Linked DNA regions of Danio rerio. The protein of the gene in region 1 purifies or fractionates together with the protein of each later gene. This does not show direct contact. Links are inferred from orthologs where the notes say so. Each region holds a gene or a part of one and is shown on either strand. Other genes may lie near its edges. The genes, in order: ikbkb and prkcq.

What was found.
Region 2: the proteins of ikbkb (region 1) and prkcq purify together in Homo sapiens (affinity purification with western blotting; 4 studies listed by BioGRID). This does not show direct contact. The link is inferred for Danio rerio from reciprocal best matches to the Homo sapiens genes IKBKB and PRKCQ.

The regions. Positions count from the first base shown.
Region 1 is NC_133183.1:3,589,761-3,593,610, reverse strand, and holds part of ikbkb (inhibitor of nuclear factor kappa-B kinase subunit beta), read right to left. Parts: intron 1,842-3,850; coding exon 1,625-1,841; intron 1-1,624.
Region 2 is NC_133179.1:26,061,790-26,066,244, reverse strand, and holds the start of prkcq (protein kinase C theta type), read right to left. Parts: upstream 3,108-4,455; coding exon 2,990-3,107; intron 1-2,989. UniProt on the Homo sapiens protein: Calcium-independent, phospholipid- and diacylglycerol (DAG)-dependent serine/threonine-protein kinase that mediates non-redundant functions in T-cell receptor (TCR) signaling, including T-cells activation, proliferation, differentiation and survival, by mediating activation of multiple transcription factors such as NF-kappa-B, JUN, NFATC1 and NFATC2.

The DNA.
Region 1 (3,850 bases):
AGCATCCCAAACGAAGGGCCGGAGAGATACGACTTGCTATATGAGTGATGATACAACTACATATAAGAGCCCATATGCTGTATTTTTGCTCCTTATGACACCCACGTTGGCCTTTTTCTACAATAAAATGTTAATATATTGTATTTTGAAACTACATAACATCACTGTATTGTACAATGGACTTTTTTATTATTATTATTTTTTATTTAGTATTTTGTTATTATGTATAATGTAAATTCAAGCTTTATATTAGGTAAGTAGCTATTTAAATACTGTGGCAAATTAAAGCGCACTTAATAGTGAAATCGGCTAATCGTTGCATCCCTAATAATGATATCAGTGCATTGTACAAAAGGCCTTTTCTACAAACATATCTAAATGCTGCCTGCGCCACTCGCTTAATGTCAGGTGACTCGCTCTCTGCGCAGCCTCTGCAGCTTGTGCTATATTGAACAGACGCACTTCACTTCATAACTACAGTGGCAGCTTTTCGACTGAACTAAATTTATTTTGATGTCTTGGTCACACTGTTTGAAGAGCCGGAACAAATTGCCTCGGGGGCCAGGTTCGGCTCGCAGGCCGCCAATTGTATAGCCCTGTTTTATAGCGATTGGTGATTGGCTCTTGTACTAGAAGGCGGGCTTTATTTACCATATAGCGATCAACGATTGGCTCCTGTACTAGAAGGTGGGCTTTATTAGCCACATTGATCGTTTCTCTTTTCCCCCATTTAAAACAATAGTGACATGTCTTGCGTAGTCTATAGTCTTTGGCTAGTTAGCCTTATGAATGGGTCCAAAAATGTGGTATGTGAATGTTTAGGATGCACAAAAATACAAATTCTGGACCAAAATTAAAAATTCTGTATGCATTTGGGTGAAAATTGAAACCAAAAATTGTTTGAAACAATGATTTATTATTTTATTAATAGAATTTTGTATGACTTATTCTGATTCCAAAAAAAAAACACAGGCAAATAAATAACCCCATCTTGCTGACAGTAAACAAGTCGAGAGGAATCATTTTACCGGTGTTGCCTTGACAGCAGGAACAAGTATACTACAAGTTAATGTCCTGTCGGCGTGTTATTTGAGTAGACTTTGCTTATTTGGTGAACATGTGCAATTCACAAATTAATAAGTTCGTAAGTAGAACAGCATAGAAAACCTTAAACTATACAATGCGTGAACATAAGCAGACTATCCATAGAGCAGTATATAGAGCTATTTTCTTTGACCGTCAGCAAGTGCTCCACTACTCTTGCTCATTGATTGATGCAGCAAAAAGATCTGCCTTTGCATGGTGCATTGAAATGAATTGGTTTCATAGCACAGTGCTTTCCACATCAGGTGTGAAAGCTACTTCACGACTATGGTGCAGCATAACCTTTTTTTTAACTCATATTTTTTTTGCCCATATTTCTAAAATGCCATTACAGCCGTTAATTTTGGCCGTCAAAAATTTTGGCAGGTCCCTAGTACAGTTTGCTATTTTAATACCATTCACAACTGACAGTGGTATTGAAAATAATTGCATACTGCACAGTACTAAACGACATTGCTCAGTGTGAACGAGCCAATATTTTTATGCGACTTGCTGATCATACTATTGAACTTCAGCCTACCTTTAGATTGAGAATGTGGCTTAATTCATCAAAGCAGAAGCAGGGGGCTTTTGGAGCATCTTTGGCACCCTCTGGACTGGTTTCTTTACTCTCCTCTTCTGCATCTTTGGGCGTCTCCTGACTCTCTTTGTTGCGCTGTTTTAAGTCTTTTCCTCGCTCTTTAGGTGACCATCTCAGCATCATCTGCAGCCAGCGCTCCAGCTCACCAGCTAACAGTCTGAAACGCATCTTTATAGCTTAAAGTTCAACCTAAAAAACTGTGATCACTCTATTTACTGGTTTAATAATCTTGTGATGGCTGCACAATTTGGTGGAAAAAAATGTACAATAAGGGTGTATTAGTCAATGCATTTACTAACATGAACAAGCAATGAACAAAACATTTATTACGTTATTCGTCCATGTTAGTTAATGAAATACAGTTGTTTATTGTTAGTTCATGTTAACTCATGGTGCATTAACTAGGCTTAACAAGCAGGAATTTGGGTTTTAATAATGCGTTAGTAAATGTTAAGCTATGATTAATAAATGCTGTACAAATATTGTTCATAATTAGTTCATGTTAGTAAATACATTTATCTAATGAATCCATATTGTAAAGGTTGACCAAAAAAAGGAAGTTTCTTGTTTTTCTGATCTTTTTTGTGTTATTGCAATAAAAAAAAATAAAACTTTGCGATGCTTTGCTGTTTGGCCTGCAATCATTGGACAGAGGCTATTCATAAAACATCATTCTAACAAGTATTAGTATTTTACCAAATTATTCATCAATTTATTTTATTTTCAGCTTAGTCCCTTATTAATCTGGGGTCGCCACAGCGGAATGAACTGCTAACATATCCAGCAGATGCCCTTCCAGTCGCAGGCCAGGACTGGGAAACACCAAACACTCTACACAGTGGCACAGTGCGTAGCACGTTAGCTTCACTGCAAGAAGGTCACTAATTCGAGCCTTGCCTAGGTCAGTTGGCGTTTTTTGTGTAGTTTGCATGTTCTCCACATGTTTGAATTGGTTTCTTCCGGGTGCTCCGGTTTCCCCTGTAAGTCCAAAGACATGCGGTACAGGTGAATTGGGTAGGCTAAATTGTCCGTAGCGCGCGTGTGTGTGTGTGTGTGTGTGTGTGTGTGTGTGTGTGTGAATGGGTGTGTATGAACGTTTCCCAGTGATGGGTTGCAGCTGGAGGGGTATAAAACATTTGCTGGATAAGTTGGCGGTTCATTCCTCTGTGGCAACCCCAGATTAAAAAAAACGGACTAAGCCAAAAAGAAAATGAATGAATGAATATTATTAACAAAAAATAATTAGTAATTATTATTTATAATTAGTATTACAAATAAATTAAACCAAATAAAAATGAATAAAAACTAACAAATTAAGGAAACTTTATTTAACTGTAAAAATAGTATTTAAGAATAAATGTAACCATTTTGTTGTACAGCACAAATGTAAAATAATGTTTTATTAAATTGTATTTTATTTATAGCGGTCTGTATTTTCAAACTTTACACCACATAGAGCTCTTTTTTTTTAAAACTCAAACAGTAAAATGTATTATTATTATAAGATATAACAATTATTAATTATTATTAATAAATAAAATCATATAAAAACGAACAAAAAATAATAAACTAAGGAAACTTTAACTGTAAAAATTGTATTTAATTTTATTTTAAATATATATAATTTTTTACAGCACAAATGTAAAAAAAAATTTCTTATTTTTTTATAGCGGTCTTAATTTTCAAACTACACCACTTTTGGTTTAAAAAAGAGCATTAGCAATACAAATTATTGTTTATATTGTTGTTGTTGTAATTATTAACATTTTTATTGTTATTATTATTTTGTTTTTTTTGAAAAAGTCACATGTTGAGAGTCAAAACATCAATATAACAAAAAAGTAACAATATTAGTATTTTATTTGACTATTATTAATAAACAAAAATAATAATAGTAATAATAATAACAATAATAATAATATTAACAATAATAATAATAACAATGATAATAATAATAATAATTATTATTATTATATAATTATAAATTATTACTTATAAATAAAGCCAACTTAAAATAATTAAATAAATTTATAAAAAGAAAAATATATAATTATGTCGTACAGAGTAAATGTAACAAAAAAAAAATTATAACTGGCTTCATTTTCAGTTACACATTATAAAAAAAGAGCATTATCAATGCAATATATTACTATTATTATTATTAAT
Region 2 (4,455 bases), on another chromosome or scaffold:
TAAATAAATAAATAAATAAATTATATATATATTGAGATAATAGATTTAAATTTTAATTTTGTTTAATTGAACAGTGAGATTGCAGTATTCTGTAATAATGACAGCTGTTTGTGTCACTATCAATGAATTACAGCTGTAGTAATAGCGACACATCGAAGAACAACATAATAACATGTTTTTATTCCAAACTTGCCTCCACCTACAGTTGAGTGTTTGAAATAATTTATTCTGTGAGATGATTCCATAATTGTGTATTAAGTAGTCACACTGAATCAATAGCTATGTTTTCATCCACCTTTTTTTGGATATGCGTTTAAAAAATGGCTGATAGAAACAGTGAGATGGGCATGAATTTTAAAAAATTTTTGAAAACTTTTTATTCCATAAGAAAAAATTGTGCATAAACTTTTATGGAAACACTTTTACTAAACAAATTCCAGTATGCACATTAAAATCATGTGATTAAATAATTGATTAAAAAAAAAAAAAAAAAAAATATATATATATATATATATATATATATATATATATATATATATATATATATATATATATATATATATATATATATTGTAATAAGAGATCATGTGGTGATGAAAAATGTGTGAATGGACAAACCAGCAGGCTGAGCACATTGTAAAACATCTGAAATGTTGTTTTGTTCATTCTAAAATGCCTTTACTATTTTATAATATTAATGTTATTATATTATTAATCACTTTCAGAACTGTCAGGAGCATCTGTGCTCCACGTCTCACACCTTCAAACACCACCACATGTTCATTATGTGTCAGCATTGTCTTCTGAGGCACAAGTCATTTATTAAATAAGGAAAAGATTCATGCAGCTTCTCCTACCGCTGCAAATCCCATTTTTACTTTTGATGTTTGGCACCAGTTAATCAGGAAGTGACTCTCTTTGACTCGTTGGATGGAAGCAGAGTATAGTTTATACAGAGTAGTGAGTTTCCAAAAGAGAGCCCTGTGGCCCTTGAAGGAGATTTACCACAAATTCCTTGAAGATGTGACCAACAATCACAGCTTTGTTCAATCATAGCTGCAATTTCAATTCGATTAGTCGCCCATACCTAAATATGCCTTGCAACAAGCACCATATGTCGATTCAAAGATCAGCCAAGAAGTTGTCGAGAATGTGCCTTCAGCAGCCACCAAACTTCAAAATGTAAAATCTTTTGATTCAAAAACACAGAACAAAGTAATACACCGATGATGGCTTGAGAGTGATTAAATTATGGGGTAATTTTTTGGTAATTTAAGGTGTAAACTTGGGTGAACAATTCCTTTAAACTGCCTGGCTTCATATTGACTTCATAATGGCTTCATATTATGTACTTTCTCATTTATTATATTACATACAGCACATTTAGCAAAATAACGATTTCATTTATAAAAATAAAAATACATACTGTCTATAAAACACATCACAAGCAAGGTCTACTGTTGATTTTAATGTGTATATTAAAAGTTTATTCGAATATAAATACATCTGGACATGCATATTTATTGAACTTAACAAATGAAGTTGTTTCAAAGAAATCTGAGTGTGACTTGACACTTTATATTTTGACAGGTATGTGTGGTTGTGGTTGGTTCTACAGAATAAGACCAAGAGGTCTGCTAGAAACTCAAACTTGTGTCTGCAGAACTGATGCTTTGTGATAAGTGTGTTCGTGTGACCAATAATCATTTCATCTATGATTCTTAAGTAAATTAATGCTGCACATTAAAAAGAAATACCACACTTCTCAAAAACATGTAGTGGAGATAGGTTTTCAGATATACTTCCCTTCATAATATTATGAATGTTTGATTGTTTTGTTGTTGAAATTTTTTGACTCGTAAAATAGCACGTGAAATAATTAAACAGAAAAAGAAGGTCTTCATAAAGTATTAAGGCATTAAAAGTGCATTTAGTATCTTTAAAAAAAATCTTGAATTACATATTTAAAACTGACTGCATCTGTCTGCCATCATTATTTATTATTATTTTTTGCTGAAGTTAGTCTAATGACTGAAAGAAGAGACTGAGAACATGCTTCATGAATCACCATCTGAACAGTGAGTTTAATAAGACAGAAACAGATACTATATTTTTACTGACAATGACACAACCCGTATGACACACATTTCCATTAAGGCTGACACTTCACACATAATCCAACAATAGTAAGTTGCTAGAAACTTTGAGTGGATGTTGTGTTTGCTTTGACCTATAGTGGAAGTTGAGTAGGTGGGTCAAGCAGCAGTTTTTCCAATATGAGTAATTTTGTCGATGTAGATTTCTTTTTTTAATAATTAGCATGTTTAAAATGAAATATATTACAATTTTAGAATAAAATGGACTGTCTTCTTGCGACTTAAGTATCATAAATGCACTTGAATACAGATGTGGCTACTGAGAATGTGCGAGTATATATGTGTATGTGTGTGTATGTATATATATATATATTTATATATATATATACATATATATACATGTATATACATGTATATATATGTATATATATATATATATATATATATATATATATATATATATATATATATATATATATATATATATATATATATATATATATATATATATATGTATATGTATGTATATGTATGTATGTATATGTATGTATATGTATGTATATGTATGTATATATATGTATGTATGTATATATGTATATATATATATATATATATATATATATATATATATATATATATATATATATATATGTGTGTATGTATATGTATGTATATGTATATATATATATATATATATATATATATATATATATATATATATATATATATATATATATATATACATATACATACATATATATATATATATATATATATATATATATATATATATATATATATATATATATATATATATATATATATATATATATATATATATATATATATATGTGTGTGTGTATATATGTGTGTGTGTAGAAAGCATAACTTACCAGTCTCCACAGCCTCTTTCATGTAGACAGCACAGTATGGATTGAGCACTTCTTCATGATAGGCAAGTCCTGGGTCCATCTCAAAACTGGAGAAAGCAATCCTCAAAAACGGAGACATGACTGTAAACGCTCAGAAATATCCTCTGATAGACAGCGGCCCTTTGTTAATTCCACTTGGGAGATCTTCTGTATTGTTGATGGACTCTTATTTGATGCTAATATTCATATTTGTAATGTCGGTTACATGAGTTGTTTTACTCCAGTGACAGAAGAAGGCAATTAGCGTTTTGTCCTTAATTTTTTAGGTCAAGTGTTTGTTTTTTTTGTTCTGTGTCCATCAGATCTTTTTGCTGGTGGTGTAGAAGGAATGATGTCGAGATGAAAGTCTGCAAAAGTCAATAAACAGAATTAAGTGTTGTAAATGACTAGTAAATGCATAAATACAAGTGTAATAATATATAAATAATATAATTTGATAAATGAAGATTTATCCAAATGTAAGAAAACAAGAAAATGGTTTATATTTAATTATTAGTAAAAAAAAAAAAAAAACAGTTTTGGGGAAAAATGAGTGATTCAGAATTTATGGTATTCATTTCGAGGTGTTGTTTTAAGTAAATTTTTATGTGTTAAATATTTTCTATCAATATTTTCTATCTTTTTATTTGTCATGAATGAAAAATAATTTGGTGGGTTTTTTCACCCAAAAAATGTATTTCTTAGCTCTTCTAACAGTAGAAAAACAAATTATATAAACACGTATAAAAACCATTGTATTTATTTTATAAATTGGAGCAACTTGTATATGCAAACAAAGTCAATTTGAAATTAAACAAATACAAATAAATGAATACAAATGAATCCAAAAAATATAAATAAAATAAATAATAAAATAAAATAAATGAATTATTAATGAATAAAGAATTTAGAATAAATATATAATTGTGCTTATGCAATACAATGGTTGATTTAGTTTTTTTGTTTTTAATAAAACTTCTTAATAATAATAACAATAATACTAAATAAATAAATAAATTAAAATTATGTGAAGAAATAATATTAAATAAATAAAATAAAGGAATATCAATAAATAAAACCAAATAAATTGGTTGTTGATTTTTTTGTATAGTTGATAAAACATAATAATACTATATTTTATTATTATTATTATTATTATTATTATTATTATTATTAAATATAAATAAAAATAAAAATAATGAATGAAATAAATAGATAAACAAAAATTAAATGGATAAAAATAAATAAATAAATAAATAAATACATATTAATAAATGAATTTAGAATAAATATAGAATTTTGAATAGACTTTTAAGGTTAATAAAACTTAGTCAATTAACTAAATAATACGAAATAAATAAATCAAAAATCTAAATAAATAAAAATAATAGATTAGCAAAATAAATTAGGAATTTAGAAAAAAATGTATGATTTTTGTTATGAAAATT